Linked DNA regions of Elephas maximus indicus. The protein of the gene in region 2 interacts with the protein of the main gene of each other region in a pairwise test. Links are inferred from orthologs where the notes say so. Each region holds a gene or a part of one and is shown on either strand. Other genes may lie near its edges.

Region 1 (8,010 bases), on a different chromosome or scaffold from region 2:
CCGCGACCCCGCGGCAGGTGGGGTGCGGGGCACCGAGGAAAGGGAAACCGCAGTGCCGCGGGCGGGGGCTGGCAGGAAGGCGGGCAGACGGGGGAGGGGAGAGCTGGAAAAGGACGGGGAGGGGTATACCGGTTGCAGTCGAGTCGATTCGGACTCTTAGCGACCCTATGGGGCAGAGTAGAACTGCTCCATAGGGTTTCCAAGGCTGTAAATCTCTACCGAAACAGACTGCCACGTCGTTCTCCCACGGAACGGCTAATGGCTTGCAACTGCCGATCTTTCGGTTAGCAGCCAAGCGCTTAACTACTGCGCCACCAGGGCTTCTTGAGAGGGGGTAGTGGGGCTTCAATTGGAATATAAGTGGAATCCGGGTGGGGCTAGTCGAGCGGGTGCTGGAGAGGGAGGGAGCGCAGAGCCTCTCTGGTCTGCGTGATGGAGACACACGGCAGAGGAAATGAACCCAGACAGCGCCCGTCAACCGCTCTCCCCACTCCCTTTGGCACCACAATCCCCTCCAATCCCATTTCTTCCCTTTTATTGCTCTGGCCTCCGCTCCCACTTCCCCTCCTAAATCCCGAGCCCGCACCCTCCTCAGTGACTCAGTGTCCGAGAATCAAAGCCAGATGCTGACCCCCTTTCCGAAAGCGCTTCTGGATCTGCTAGCGGCAGCAGCTCCGCTGATGGGACGGAGAGGGTTTTGATGGTAGCCGCAGCTGTCGCGGGACCTTAGCCTTGGGCACCGCAGGCCTGAGGGCCCCGGGCCCTGGTCTTGGCAAGGGCGCAACGTGCACACCCGGGCGCAAGCACCAGGCCAGGGCCTTGCGTGTACTCGCAGGCGCACACCCCTCCTGCGGCCTCTGCCCTGCGAGCAGCAATGCGGACGGCTAGGTTATTGCTCTGTGTCACCTCGCTGGGATGTTGGTATAACCTAGGCTGCAAAAACGACAAGACAGAGCGCCTAGGCAGGGAGGCCACTGAAGAGAGGCTGGAAAACTGCAGCCCCAGGAATCCCAGAAAGCTGAGTATTTGGAAGCATCCTTGGTTCATATGCAGTCCAAGAGCACTCTCACTTCCCTCACACACACCCAGGAACACCTCCAGCTCTGTGCCAAGTGCAGGATTATCTGGGAGCACCTAAACCCACGCATACCTGGCATCATCCCTAGCCATGTTGTCTTCTAGAAGGAAGGAAATTAACCTTGGTGGGGCCACTTACCTTGGAGCAGGTATAGTTCCAGATGTTTCTCGTCTTTCTTAATCCCGATCATAACCCTTTGAGTACCTAAGGCTCAGAGCCATTCATTCATTATCTTTTGAGCACCTACTATATGCCAGGAACTGTTCTGGGCATTGGGGATTTTTTTTTTTTTTTCTGAACAAGAACTAAGAAGTCCCTGCCCTCATAGGTAGGACATTTCTGAAGGGGGTTGGGGGTTGTAAAGATAAAGTTTCTTATTCTAAATCACCCAGCTAGTAGGGGCTCATGGCCAGGTATAGACACAGGCCCTTATAGGAGGTATTCTCCCTCTCCACCTCCCCCATCTGCCTGCCGTTTCCCCACAATCCGGTGACAGTGTCACATTCAACGAGGGATGTAGAGGGGGCTTGGATGCCCCACCCATGGACATTATGGCATATCCCCCAGGGGCCCCAGGCTTGGCAGTAAATGTGGGACACTTGCCCCATCTCTTGCTGATTCCCGTCCTGTCCCCACCCCAGATCCAGGGCTGAGCTCCAGGCACCATGAACCCCGCCATCTGCATCGCTCTCCTGCTGACAGGTACTGTGTAAGGCTAAGGCTGGGAGTCCAGCCACACTGGCTTGCTCCTCCTCAGAGAAGCTAGCTTCTTCCTTACAGACAGTGGAGGGGATTGAGGTATAGAGGGCTCTTTTTCGTCCTTAAGTCAGCAATTTCCCCAAACCTAGCTGATCTGAGTGCCTTGGGTGGTTTTTGGAAACACAACTCCCTCAGGCCCACCCCAGCCACTGGATTAAAAAATATATACATATTGCCCACGAGTCTATTCCAACTCATAGCAACCCTAGAGAACATAGTAGAACTGCCCCGCAAGGTTTCCAAGGAGCAGCTGGTGGATTCCAACTGCCGACCTTTTGGTTAGCAGCCTGAGCTCTAAACCACAGCACTACCAGGGCTCCTGCCATTGAATTAGAATCTCCAAATGGGATCCAGGAACCTGGATCTACTCCCAAGACTTCCTGCCCTTGGAACATGCTAGTGGGACCCAGGACTCAAGCAGGCTAGGGAGCGAGGCTAGGGTCTTCAGTGGGGAAGTTGGACTGACCCTTGGGGACCCCTGGGGTGGGAGAAGGGCTCAGAGAGCAGACCCCTGTGACCCCCCTGACTAGGCCCCATCTCTGCTCTTAATGTGGTTAGGAGACCCCCTGCTCCACAGGCTCTTCCTAACTCGGAGGGGGCACTGCTGGTGCCAGTCTTTCAGGTGGCCTGGGGGCAGAAGGTGACAAGCCTGACAGCCTGCCTGGTGAACCAGAGCCTGCGCCTGGACTGCCGCCATGAGAACACCACCACCTTGCCCATCCTGTATGAGTTCAGCGTGACCCGCGAGACCAAGAAACACGTGATCGAAGGCACTTTGGGAGTGCCTGAGCACTCATATCGCACCCGGACCAACCTCACTAGCAAGTATGACATTAAGGTCCTCTACTTAAATGGCTTCACCAACAAGGATGAGGGCACCTATACATGTGAGCTCCGCCTCTCTGGCCAGCCTCTCAGCATCTCCAACAAGAACATCTCAGTCTTCAGAGGTATGGCAAGTACCCAGCAAAACCCACTGAGCTGGAGGAGACAGGCTAGGGAGGGGCAGACTGGTGAGGGCAGCAGGCAGTCCTGGCTGGACTAGAGGGAGAGGGGTCCCACTCCCCTGACGTCCTCCAACTGCTGCCTGGTCCCCTGGGGAACCACTGCCTTCAGCGTGAATGGGGGTCTGAGGAGCTAAGGTGCCAGTCAGAGAGACAGAGTGGTGTTGTAGACACTTCCATCATGACTCTAGGAAAGTCACTTAGCCTCCCCAATCCCCTTCCTCCCCTTCAGGGAAATAGGGACCATAATACCTACTTCCCCACAGTCTTCTTGTGACCATGTCTAGGAAGGATTTATAAGTTGATGTGTGTTCGAAGGAAGGATGATTGGTCCTGTTGATACTTGGTCCCATGATCATCTTGATACCAAGGCAATGCACCTTACTTTGTGCCTGTCCCTACCTAAATGCTGGTCTCTCTTCTTTCCTGTCCTGTCTCCTACCCAATTCTCTCTCCACAGACAAACTGGTCAAGTGTGAGGGCATAAGCCTGCTGGTCCAGAATACTTCATGGCTGCTGCTGCTCCTGCTCTCCCTGCCTCTCCTCCAGGCCATGGATTTCATCTCCCTGTGACGGGTTGTGCCCACAGAGGATACAGGAAGCCACAAGACCTGGTCCAGAGACCCAAGTTCTCTGAGTCGGCTGACCCCCTCCTCCCAGTCCCTCACACACCTCGGGGAGGAATAGGGACCCCACCTCTCATAAGGAACCCCAGTGCTGCATGCCATTATTTACCCACTCCCACTGCCACCCGACCCCCACAGCCCCTCACACCCTCTCTGCACACCACTGGCTGTCTTTTGTACTCTTTGTTCCAGAGCTGCTTCTGTCTGGTTTATTTAGAGTTTATCCTTCCTTTTCTTCTGGAGTTCGTGAAAAGGGAAGCCAGGGTTGGGGAACTAATGGAGAGTGAGAGGATGGGGCAGGGGGGATAGAAAAATAACCAATCCCTGGGGGACCATCCTTGCCCAGTGGGGACCAGAGGCCGTGGAGAGACCTGGGTGAGGAGGGGATGGGGTGTCTGGGGCTGGTACCCGTGTGGTCTATGCTGAGACCATCCCTCAGCAGGCAGGGATGGCACCTGAAGATCCCAGAGGTAAGGACCCCCCCAAGCATTTGTGGCCATCACGTGAGAGAACAGAGCATCTTCCAAAGCATCCTCAACCAAAGCAAAAAAAAAAAAATCCCCTCTTTAAGACCCCGTAGAAATCCCCCAGAGGCCTGGGGCCAGGGGCATAGTTCAGTTAGAAAGCAGATCGCGATGGGAGCAATGCTGATGAGGGGCTGGCTGAAGGGGTAAGAGGCGAGGGCATGTCATCCCTCCCTACCTAAGGAAGCCAGAAATGTGAGCCTACTGTCCTGACCAGCAGTAGAGAAGGTGGCAGAGGAAAACAAGCCCCTCCCTAAGAGCATCCAGAACTCTGACCTGGACCCAAGGAGTCGGGCTGGCTGGAGTCCCAGAGCCCCCCAGAGTCTGGCCCAAGTGTTTCTTCAGGAGGTTCTTTTCTCCCTCCCTCATCAGTGCCAGCCCCTGCTAGCTGGTGCCTGAGCCCCTCAGACAGCCCCCTGCCCCACAGGCCTGGCTTTTCAGGGACCTCTGGGGGCCAGAGGCAGGCCATGGAGTGAGACCCATGGGTGGGACACGCCTTGGGAGGTGAGGTGGCTTTTCCTAACCCCCAGCTCCCCACCAGCAGCCCTGTCCTGTCCTGTGACTGTGTGTAGTGCCACCACAGCTTATGGCATCTCATTGAGGAAAAAGAAAACTGCACAATAAAATCAAGCCTCTGGAATCGACCTCGTGTCCCATCTCTGCTTTGCTCCTCCATCAGCCTAGGCCCGCCTCCCTTTCCTCAGCCAGTGTCTCCATGGGCAGGAGGTCCCACTTGCCACCTTGAAAGTTGGGGAATACTCCCTCTTCCCTGCCTTCCATCAGTTCTTCCTCTCGCCTTGCCTTCTTTCCAACTTCTAGCAGCACCTCAGCCCCCACCTCCACCTCCACCCAGGACCTATGGCTGCATGCTGGGCTTCTTTTCAGGAGAACTAACATTTAATGTTTGCTCAAATAAATGAATGTTCCATCTCTGCTGACTCACCTGGCTAGAACCACAAACTCACCTGCCAATGTATGGGCTGAGCCACATGACACTGACACGAATATGCAAGTGGCTTTGTGCTAACAAGCATTGAGCTGTGTAGGCAGTGTTCTCTTCTCAGACCTGGTTTTCCTTTGGAAATGTCCTCTCAACGTACTTCTTCTTAGAGGGCAAGTACCAGGAGCGTGGAGAGGAAGCATAGGGGGAGGGTGGGGCAGGAAAGGGCATCCATGTCTCCAAGGTCTAAGGGTGAGCATCTCCTTAAATCCAAAAGCAATGGCCAAAGAAAGGACTGAGGACCACCATTCCCTTGGGGGAGGGAGGGAGCGCTAACCCCATCCCTGACCCCCTCCTCTAAAAGTAATGAGTAAAATGTGGATAAGCATTGAAGTCACCCTGGGACTGGGGACTAGAACCGGGCCACAGGGTGGCTCTGAGTTCGAGGTCCTCGTAGGAGTCAGTGAGACAGCCTTCCTGCTTTGCCAGGGACTTTGGAGGGGGAGGGTGGCAACTGCCCAGAGACTGACTCATTTGGTATTTAACACTGGATAGGATGATTCTTTCTGAGCATTTTGCTTAAAGGCCTCAGATCTAAATTTGTGCCACTGGCTCCCACTCTTCTTGCCACCTCCCGTCTATGCCTCTGCCTAGTCAGTGGTCCTATAGTGACCCTGCCCAAAGAACCTGCCCAAAGAGGAAAGGAAAATCCCGTGGTGGAGGAGAACACACTGCCGGTGTGAAAGACTGTCCCTGAGTGAGGTGCCAGTCATTAAGCAGGTGCAATGACTGACACAAGACCCCTCTTATCTGCAATGCTTGGAGCTCGGACTACTCTGGCGAGGAAAGGGGTTTTTTGTTTTTTTAAGTACTTTATTTTATCTTTGTTGTTGAGATCATACACATCAAAAACATACACCAATTCAAGTAATTTTGACATGTTTCATTGACATTGATTACATTCTTCAAGTTGTGCAGCTATTCTCACCTCCTTTTCTGTGTTGTTCCCCCCATTAACGTACTGTCATTGCTCCCCAAGATTCCCATTTAATTTTTCAAGTTACTGTTGTCAATTTGATCCCGTGTACATAGATTTTTTTTTTTTTACATAGATCTTAAAAGAGCATAATGCTCAAGGCAGACATTCTTTACTAGTCAAGCTAAACGATTGTTTGGTTTTAAGACATCAGGGGCTATTTTCCACCTTTTGTTTTGTTTTGTTTCCACTTTTTGGCTATTGTGAACAGTGCTGCAATGAACATTGTTGTAGAGTCTCTGCTTTAAAATCTTTCGGGTATATAGCTAAGAGTGGAATTGCTGGGTCATACGGTAGTTTGGAAACTCTGGTGGCATAGTGGTTAAGAGCTACAGCTGCTAACCAAAAGGTCGGCAGTTCAAATCCATCAGCTGCTCCTTGGAAACCCTCTGGGGCAGTTCTACTCTGTCCCATAGGGTTGACTACGAATCGAATCTACTCGATGGCAACAGGTTTGGTTCGTTTTACGGTTGTTCCAGTTTTAGTTTTTTGAGAAGCCGTCTGTTTTCTACAGTGGCTATATCATTTTGCATTCCCACTAGCAATGATTCCAATCTCCCACATCCTCACCAACATTTATTATTTTATGTTTTTTATTTTTATCTTAGCCACCCTAGTGGAAGTGAAATGGTACTTCACTGTGGTTTTAATTTGCGTCTGTCTGATGGCTAATGACGTTGAGCATCTTTTCATGTGTTTGGTGGCCATTTGCTGAGATGTCTATTCAACTCCTTTGCCCACTTTGCCCTTTGCCCATTTTATGATTGAGTTGTGTTTTTGTTGTTGTCGAAGTTTTATGTATTTTTTGGTTATTAGGTTCTTGTTGGTATATGGTTTCCAAAAATATTCTCCCAGTTGGTAGCTTATCTTTTCACTTTTTTAGTAAAGCCTTTTGCTGAACAAAAGTTTTTAATTTTTGAGGTCCCATTTATTTATTTTGTCTTTTGCTTTTGTTACTGTATCAGAAAATCCATTGTTAAAAGCTAGGCCTGACAGCATTGCCCCTGCTTTTTTTCCTAAGGATTTTAAGGTTTCACTTTGCATATTTAGGTCCTTAATCCATTTTGAATTTTTGTGTACAGCGTGAGGCATGGTTCTTGTTTCTTTTTTCTGCGTGTGGAAACCCAGTTTTCCCAGCACCATTTATTGAAGAGACTCTACTTTCCCCGTTGAAAGGACTTAGCACCCTTGTCAAAAATCAGTTGACCATAGATGTGTGGGTTTATTTCTGAACTCTCAATTCTATTGCATTGGTCTATGTGTCTGTGTGCTCTGGCTAAGACTTCTAATACAATATTGAATAGAAATGATGAGAGCAGGCACCTTGTTTTGTTCCTGATTCCAAGGATAAAACTCTCAGTCCTTTTCCATTAAGTATGATGTTGTCCCTTGGAATTCATATATGCCCTGAATCATATTGAGGAATTTCCCTTCTATTTGAATCTTCTTGAGGGTTTTCATCAAGAATACCCATTGGATTTTATCAAATGCCTTTTCTGCATTCATAGAGATGATTATGTGTCTCTTTTGTTCTACTGCTGTGGTGTATTACGTTGATTGATTTTCTAATTGTAAAAAGGGCTTGTGGAAGTCAGAGGTCCTCTAACTTCATGAGCGGGGAGGAGAATCATTATCAGGCTCAACAGCCCAAGGTTGATTAATATGAGATGGAAGTCAAACATGCCTCCACTCTCCAAACTTCTACCAATTCTGACATTAGCCATCCCTCCCACAGAACTCTCTACTTCTTTGCTGGGTTCAATAATTTGTTGCAATGGCACACAGAACTCACAGATAACAATTGTTTATGGTGTTTATTAGGGTAGTAACAGGTTACCACTTGGAATCAGGATCAACAGGTTACAACTCAGGATCAAGAACAGAGAGCACGTAGGCAAATTCTCCCTTCTTCAGGGCAAGACAGTTCTCTCAGTTACTCTCAGCCATGCCGGGCTCATCTCAGCCCCCTGAAGGCAAGCTTTTCTTGGCCCCCTCAGGATAGGCTTTCTCTTTTGGCGCTCAGACCTCAGGCCCTTGGCCTGG
Region 2 (7,579 bases):
AAAAGTGTTATGTACTTCATTTCCTAGTCTATACTAACGTAACGAGTTTTTAATTTAATAGAAAAATTATCTTTCATAAGACCTGATGCTCTGATCATGTAAACATAAAAGAGTACTACTGGGTCGCCACGAGTCAGAATCGACTCGACGGCCAAGAGTGTGGTTTTTTTTTTTTGAGTACTCAGCTTTCACTGCTGTGAGCTGTGCACAATGAAACGTGTCGCTTACGACTCTGGCAAGTGTTCTACACGGAATTACAAGTCCCTGATAAATTACTCTGTGCAGTGTTAAAAAATAAAAAACAAGAAACATTGTTTATACGAAAGTATAAAAAAAAGAAACATTATTTATATGAAAGTATACATGCCGTAAAATTCTTCAGCGTACCACCTTTCCAATACCATTTTTCTCTTCCCATATTTCTGAGCCCGGGTGACGCAACGGTTAAGCACTCGGCTGCTAACCACAAAGTTACTGTTTGAACCCACCCAGCAGCTCCACGGCAGAAAGACCTGGCAATCTGCTCCTACAAAGATCACAGCCTAGAAAACCCTATAGGGCAGCTCTACTCTGTCACATGGGGTCGCTGGGAGTCAAAATCGACTGGACTGCACCTAACAACAACTGTTTACTTAAACCATACCTTGGGCTTTTACCAGCCACACCTTGGGCTACAAACTGACAAATGAAAAGAAATAATGTTTTCCAAAACAAGAGCCCTGGTGGTGCAACGGTTAAGTGCTGGGTTACTAACGGAGAGGTTGGTGGTTCTAACTCACCCAGTAGTTCTGCGGGAGAAAAGACCTGGCCATCTGCTTTTGTAAAGATCACAGCCTAGAAAATCCTATGGGGCAGTTCTGCTCTGTCACATTGGGTCACCGTGAGCGAAAATAAACTTGACAGCACCCAACAACAACAACAATGCTATCCAATGGGTCTCAACCCTGGATGCATGGTAGAATCCCCATGGGAGCTTTTGACATTGCAGATGCCAAAGCACTACCCCAAACCAGGTAAAACGATATGGGGGCGGGGGATGGCAGGGCCTGGGGAGGAGGCACCTAGATATTGGTATATCTGACAGTTTCTACTTTTGGCTTCTTTTTACCTGAAAAAACAACCATAAATGTGAGCAGAGAGGTTTTATTGGGGGAGGGGGCAGGTCTTGAATAACTGGCAACTCCCAATTACTATGCTTTCATCAGATATTAAAATAAAAGGAACCCTGGTGGCAAAGCGGTTAAGCACTCGCCTGCTAACCAAAAGGGTCAGCAGTTTGAAGCCACCAGCCAGCATCTCTGCAGGAGAAAGACCTGGTAATTTGTTTCTATAAAGATAACCACTAGGAAACCTATGGGACAGTTCTACTCTGTCACATGGGCTTGCTATGAGTCGGAATCGACTCAACGGCACACAACCACGTCAAAATGAAATCATTCGATAATTTGAAACCCATAAACGATATCTGTAGAATTTTTTTTTCATTACTAGCAAATAATCTGCTTCCATAAAGGCAACAGCCAAGAAAACCCTATGGGGCAGTTCTACTCTGCCACATGGGGTCGCTATGAGTCCAAACGGACCCCAGAGCACCCACAGCAACATCAATAAGTAGTCAAAGATTCTCATCAAGTTTTGCAGTAGTCTTTACAAAACCTACTTTATTGTTTAATGCTTTGCAACTCTGTCTCTACCTAATGTTATAGAAAAAAGGGCTTCCTACTATCTTAAAAGGGTGGCTCGAGCTGGGTCCACGTTTGTCTTCAAGCAAAGTTTTGGTTTAAAGCCGAAATGACGGTTCTGACATCTTCGCTCCCTCTTCTTAGATCCTCTGGTAATCACTTTTCATAACTGAACCAAAGAGCAAATATTTTTTTAAAGCACTTATATAACAGAGAGTACAGGCGCCTTTGGGACCCTGCCAAGAGTACTTCTTCCCGTGTTTGTATTTAAAATAGAATGGTAGTAACATCACTTGTGTGCCTGAAATTCCTCTGTGCACAGGCTCAGAATGAAAAATGGATGTAGCAAACCGCTTCACTGCGTACCATTATAAAGCTCGAAGGAAGTAACACATTCATACTAAATTAAGACGAAGACACAGACCGAATTATCCAAAGCTGGAGGAGGGTGGGGGACACCTGATTTCACTCGGTTTAACCTACCATCCCCTCTAAAACGGGATAGTCTAACCCGGCAGCTCCCGAAGGTGCCAAATGAGCTGCAACACTTCAGCCCACGCAGGTGATGTGGGCAGGAAAGAATAACTGCTATGACGACAGAACAGCCGAAAAAAACGCTGCGCTTTCCGGAGCACCGGCTGCGACCATTCCCAATTCTGTCCCAGTCTCAGCACTGTCCCCTGAAGGCAGGCACCGGAGCCAAGACCGACCCCTGCAGACCGCAGAACAGAATGTGCTCACCTGGATCCGAAAGAGCCAAGAAAGATGTCCGAGGGGCCACTCCTGCCCTTAACTAGCCTCTCCTGGCGACCCGGCTCCGACGCGCGTCCTCCTCCTCCCCGGCTCCAGTTTGCTATTTACGGAGAGGATGGACTCTGCGGACCGGCCACGGATTGCAGCCAAAGGGGGTGGACAAACTTGCCAGGGAACCAGGAGAGGGGGCGCAGGTGGAGAAACCAGGGACGCCACCCCAGCTGGAGACAGCCCCTGACAACTGCCGCCCGCACCACCCACGCCCGCCGCGGCGCACGCAGCGCCGGGAGCGCCTGGGAACCCAGCGCCCCGCTGCGCCCCCGCACTCACCTCTGCGCGGGCACCGCCCAGGCCGCCGCCCCCGCCCCAGCGCAGGGGAGCCGGGGGATAACCAGGGGACCAGGGCAGGACGCCGGGCGCGCCCGGTTCGGCCGTCGCAGCCACCGCGCTTCGGCCGCCTCCCCGGACAAAGAGGAGCCGCGGGGCCGGCGGCGGAGCCCGAGCCTCGGAGCGCGCCGCGCAGCCGGCAACTCTCGCTCGCGCGGTGCGGCCCTCGGTGACAGCCCGCCGGCTGCGGAAGGGAGGGCGGGCGGCGCGGGCAGCAGAGGCGCGCACCCCCTCCTGGCCGGCCCGAGACGCGCACGCCGAGGCCCGGCGCCGCCAGCCGCCCGGCGCGCCCCTCCCTGCCCGCGCCCCGCGCACCCAGGCCGCCCAGCGCGAGCCACAGCGCCCTCTGCCGGCCCCTCGGAGCCTCCGCCCGCAGCTCCGCTCGCGTCCGCACCGTCCGGCGGCTCCTGGAGCCACCCAGCCGCGCCACCGCGGTCCCCTAGCGGCTAGGCGGCCCCAGGGGAGAGAAAGGAGAAGCAAGGCTGAGGAGAGGGGTGGCAAGGCAGAGGGCTTCGAGGAGGGCGATCTGCTGTTTTCCTCTTAGGACGAAGACCGAACAGGTTGGAATTGGGTGAAGCAAGAGGAATTTAGGCAAAGCGTTGGGAAGAGCTTGGAGGGCGGGGGGATCCCTCATTCACAACAAGGAGCCCAGATGCGGTCTCCGACAAACTGTTGGAGGAAAAGGCGGGCTTTTCTTTCTAGAATCAGGTTTATTTCTGTGTCTAATAAGCACCAAATGTGCCTAACACTCTTCAAGGAGCTCCAGCGATTTTTGACAGTTCTCAGGAATAAATGGCTTCATTAATGACTTCTTGCAGGGTCTTCTGGCCCTACCTGAAATGCTCTTGCTTCCCCTAAACAGTGCACCTAGACCAAAACCAAACCCGTTGCTCTCACGGCGATTCTGACTCATAGTGACCCCATGCGACAGGTTAGAACTGCCCCCTAGGTTTCCTAGGCTGTAATCTTTATGGGACCAAGTTGGCAGGTCTTTTCTCCACGGAGCTGGAGCTGTCAACTTTTAAGTTAGCAGCCCAGCGCTTACCCAGGGCTCCTTAAGCAGTGAACCTGGTGGGTATTAAGCAATACTTTATATCAGTTATATTTTTTAACAAGCTGATCTTAGTGAAAGGACAACGTGAAATAGCACCTTTTTTTTTCTCTCCCACAGCACTGTGTTTTACAATGTATTCTATCAGATCTTCCTTCTCTTCTGGAAGAATCTAGGGCAGATTTCATAGCTTTTCCTATCACTTTCAGGTGTTAATAAAACTCTGGTATTAAAAAGTCCAGTCCAATCCAAATCCAAATCAAAACTTTAATTTCATTCAATTTGCCCCTTCTTTATTCCCCTCCCATGCCCACCAGCTCCCAGCCTGACCCAAGCTCAGACGCCTGTAGTGGGGAAGGGGAAAGAAGCCTGTCTTTCCCTTCCTTGTTCTGCCTCCTCCCCACTGACTGGGTTAAGACTGAATCCTCCAGGATGGCAGGGGTGAGGGAAGCTCCCACTGAATCAGGCCGTGGTGCTGATCACTTGCAGCTTTCACTTCAGCATCTCCTTCAGGTGGTCCACCTCACATAGACCCTCGGTGGGTGTTGCCGTGCCCTGGCAGGCAAGCCTCTCGAGTGCAGTCCTTTTGAGATGGTTCAGATCCAGCTACCTTCCACCGTGTCCACTCTGTCCCATGGAAAGTACTTGGCATTGTTGCTCATCACACTAATACTGCAGGCCAGTGTCCCTGAGGCACACTCTGCTCAGGCTTTGGCCACAGGCAGCTCTGACCAGCCTCTCTCCTTGAAGCTTTTCATGCCGGAGTCAGACTCCCATCTCTGGGTTCACAAATGTCCCAAGCTGCAGGTGATACATTTTCTCCATGGTCCAGGTAGCTCTCCAGAAGCACACCCTTTTTTTGCATGAAGTGGGTAGATACTCCCTAAGTTGCATCACAACACCCTAGGCTCATTCCAAGGAAATTCTCAGAACCAACTTTCCCCCTTGATCACTCTCTTTTCTTTCAGTTTCGACTGAAGATGGCAGAACCCTTAGCAACTCCAATAAAGAGGTGCCCATTTGTTGTATTAATGTTTCTCTTATGAAGTTATTGTGAAGATTAAATGAATTCATATATCTAAGAATCAGTCCTGTCATGTAAGTTCACAAGAAATTGTTTTTGTTAGATGCCATCAATTCAGTTCCGACAATGAGTGGACTTTCTCACATGACCTTGCAACTTCCACCCAAGCGATTGGTCAGGACTGTGTGATAGGGTAACTGTGGCCCACCAAAGGGGTTGGCCAGTTTTGCCATTCTGCTGGGTTTGAAATGAGCCATCCCAGAGGCAGGACAGAAGAACTCACCACCACCAAGAAAGGAGAGACTCACGGGAGACAGCACAGTGGGCTTCTTAGCCCATGGAGAGTGAAAGCTGAGTGCCTTTGGGCAGAGCATGAGGGCCAGGGAGAGGTGTGCCTGTGAGCATGGCTGGGAAGAGGCTGTCCTGATGGGAGAACAGTATCATAGAGTGTTTCTGAACCTGAATTGCAACCTCTTACTTCCTTAATAAACCCCATAACTGTGAGAAAAAAAAAAAAAGAGGCACCAATTTGTTGTTCTTAGGTGCCATCTAGTTGATTCCTACTCCTAGCAACCTTACGCATAGCAGAACAAAACATTGCCCCATCCTACGCTATCCCCTCAATCGTTGCTGTGCTTGAGCCCATTGTTACAGCCACTCTGACTGTCCAACTAGTTGAGGGTCTTCCTCTTTTTCACTGGCTCTCTGCTTTACAGAACATGATGTCCTTCTCCAGAGATTACCCCTCCTGATAACATGAGCAAAGTAAATGAGACAAAGCTTTGCCATCCTTGCTTCTAAAGAGCATTCTGACTGTACTTCCTCCAAGACAGATTTGTTAGTTATTCTGGAAGTCCACAGTATTTTCAACGTTCTTTGCCAAAACAATAATTTAAATGCATCTTCTTTGGTCTTTCTCATTCATTGTCCAGCTTTTGCAGGCATATGAGGTGAATGAAAAAAACCATGGCTTGGGTCAGGCACACCTTAGTCATCAAAATGACATCTTTGCTTTTTAAGATTTTAAAGAGGTCTTTTGCGGCAGATTTGCTCAATGCAATATATCGTTTGATTTCTTGACGCCTGCTTCCATGGGTGTTCATTGTGGATCCAAGTAAAACGAAATGCTTGACAACATCAATATTTTCTCCTTTTATCATGATGTTGCTTATTGGTCCAGTTGTGAGGATTTTTGTTTCCTTCATGTTAAGATGTAGTAGCTACTGAAGGCTATAGTCTTTGACCTTCATCAGTAAGTACCCTTCACTTTCAGCAAGCAAGGTTGTGTCATCTGCAAATCACGGGTTGTTAATGAGTCTTCCTTCAATTCTGATGCCACGTTTTTCTTCATATAGTCCAGCTACTCAGATTATTTGCTCAACATACTGATAGAATAAATATGATGAAAGGCTACAACCCTGACCCACACCTTTCCTGATTTTAAACCATGCAGTATTCCCTTGTTCTGTTTGAACAACTGCCTCTTAGTCTATGTACAGGTTCCACATGAACACAATTAACTGTTCTAGAACTTCCATTCTTCCCAATGTTATCTATCATTTATTGTGATCCACACTGTCAATGCACAGTCAATGTAACACAGGTAAACATCTTTCTGGTATTCTCTGCTTTCAGCTAAGATCCACCTGACATCAGCAATGGTATCCCTCATTCCATGTCCTCTTCTAATCCAGTTTGAATTTCTGGCAGTTCCCTGTCAATGTGCTGCTGCAGCCATTTTTGAATGATCTTCAGCAAAATTTTACTTGCGTGTGATACTAATGATATTGTCTGATAACTTCCACATTCCACTGAATCACCTTTCTTTGGAGTGAGGACAAATATGGATCACTTCTAGTCAGTTGGCCAGGTAGCTGTCTTTCAGATTTCTTGGCATAGATGAGTGGGCACTTCCAGCATTGCATCCATTTGTTGACACATTTCATTTGGTATTCTGTCAATCCCTGCAGCCTTGTTTTTTGCCAATGCCTTCGGTGAAGCTTGGACTTCTTCTTGTAGTACCATTGGTTCTTGATCATATCCTGTCTCCTGAAATGGTTGGCTGTTGACCACTTTTTTTTGGTAAGTGGCTCTGTATTCCTTCAATCTTCCTTTGATGCTTCCTGAATCATTCAATTTTTTGCCCATAGAGTCCTTCAATATTGCAACTCAAAGCTTGAATTTTCCCTTTAGAGATCATCTCAGGAATAAATTTGATGCACTGAGCACTAATGACTGAAGACCAGGCAAGTTGTCAGATGACATCAAAGACATCATACATGAAGAAAGCAAAGGTCATTAAAAAGGCAGGAAAGAAAAAAAAGACCAAAATGGATGTCAGAAGAGACTCTGAAACTTGCTCATGAATGTAGAGTAACTAAAGTGGATAGAAGAAATGCCAAAGTAAAAGAGCTGAGCTGAAGATTTCAAAGGGCAGCGCAAGAAGACAAAGTATTATAATGAAATGTGCAAAGACCTGGAGTTAAAACTCTGAAAGGGAAGAACGTATTCGGCATTTCTCAAGCTGAAAGAACTGAAGAAAAAATTCAAGCCTCGATTGCAATATTGAGGGATTCTATGGCCCAATAGCTCTATCTAAAATGTGGATATACTTTTTGCCATGGTGGCCGTGAAGAGATGCCACTCAAACCTTTGAGCATAATTCACTGACAGCCCCCAGCT

Evidence for each region. The genes of interacting proteins can lie anywhere in the genome.
Region 1: the proteins of MTUS2 (region 2) and USP2 interact in binary tests that used the Homo sapiens proteins (3 or more experiments, as listed by UniProt). The two-hybrid records come from large-scale screens. The link is inferred for Elephas maximus indicus from reciprocal best matches to the Homo sapiens genes MTUS2 and USP2.

What each region holds. Positions count from the first base shown.
Region 1 is NC_064835.1:11,873,608-11,881,617, reverse strand, and holds the start of USP2 (ubiquitin carboxyl-terminal hydrolase 2), read left to right. Parts: upstream 1-5,000; 5' UTR 5,001-8,010. Other genes in the region: THY1 (thy-1 membrane glycoprotein), read left to right, coding at 1,744-1,780, 2,452-2,787, 3,302-3,414. UniProt on the Homo sapiens protein: Hydrolase that deubiquitinates polyubiquitinated target proteins such as MDM2, MDM4 and CCND1. Isoform 1 and isoform 4 possess both ubiquitin-specific peptidase and isopeptidase activities.
Region 2 is NC_064841.1:61,236,451-61,244,029, reverse strand, and holds the start of MTUS2 (microtubule-associated tumor suppressor candidate 2), read right to left. Parts: upstream 3,007-7,579; 5' UTR 2,766-3,006; intron 2,693-2,765; exon of another isoform or gene 2,424-2,692; intron 1-2,423. UniProt on the Homo sapiens protein: Binds microtubules. Together with MAPRE1 may target the microtubule depolymerase KIF2C to the plus-end of microtubules. May regulate the dynamics of microtubules at their growing distal tip.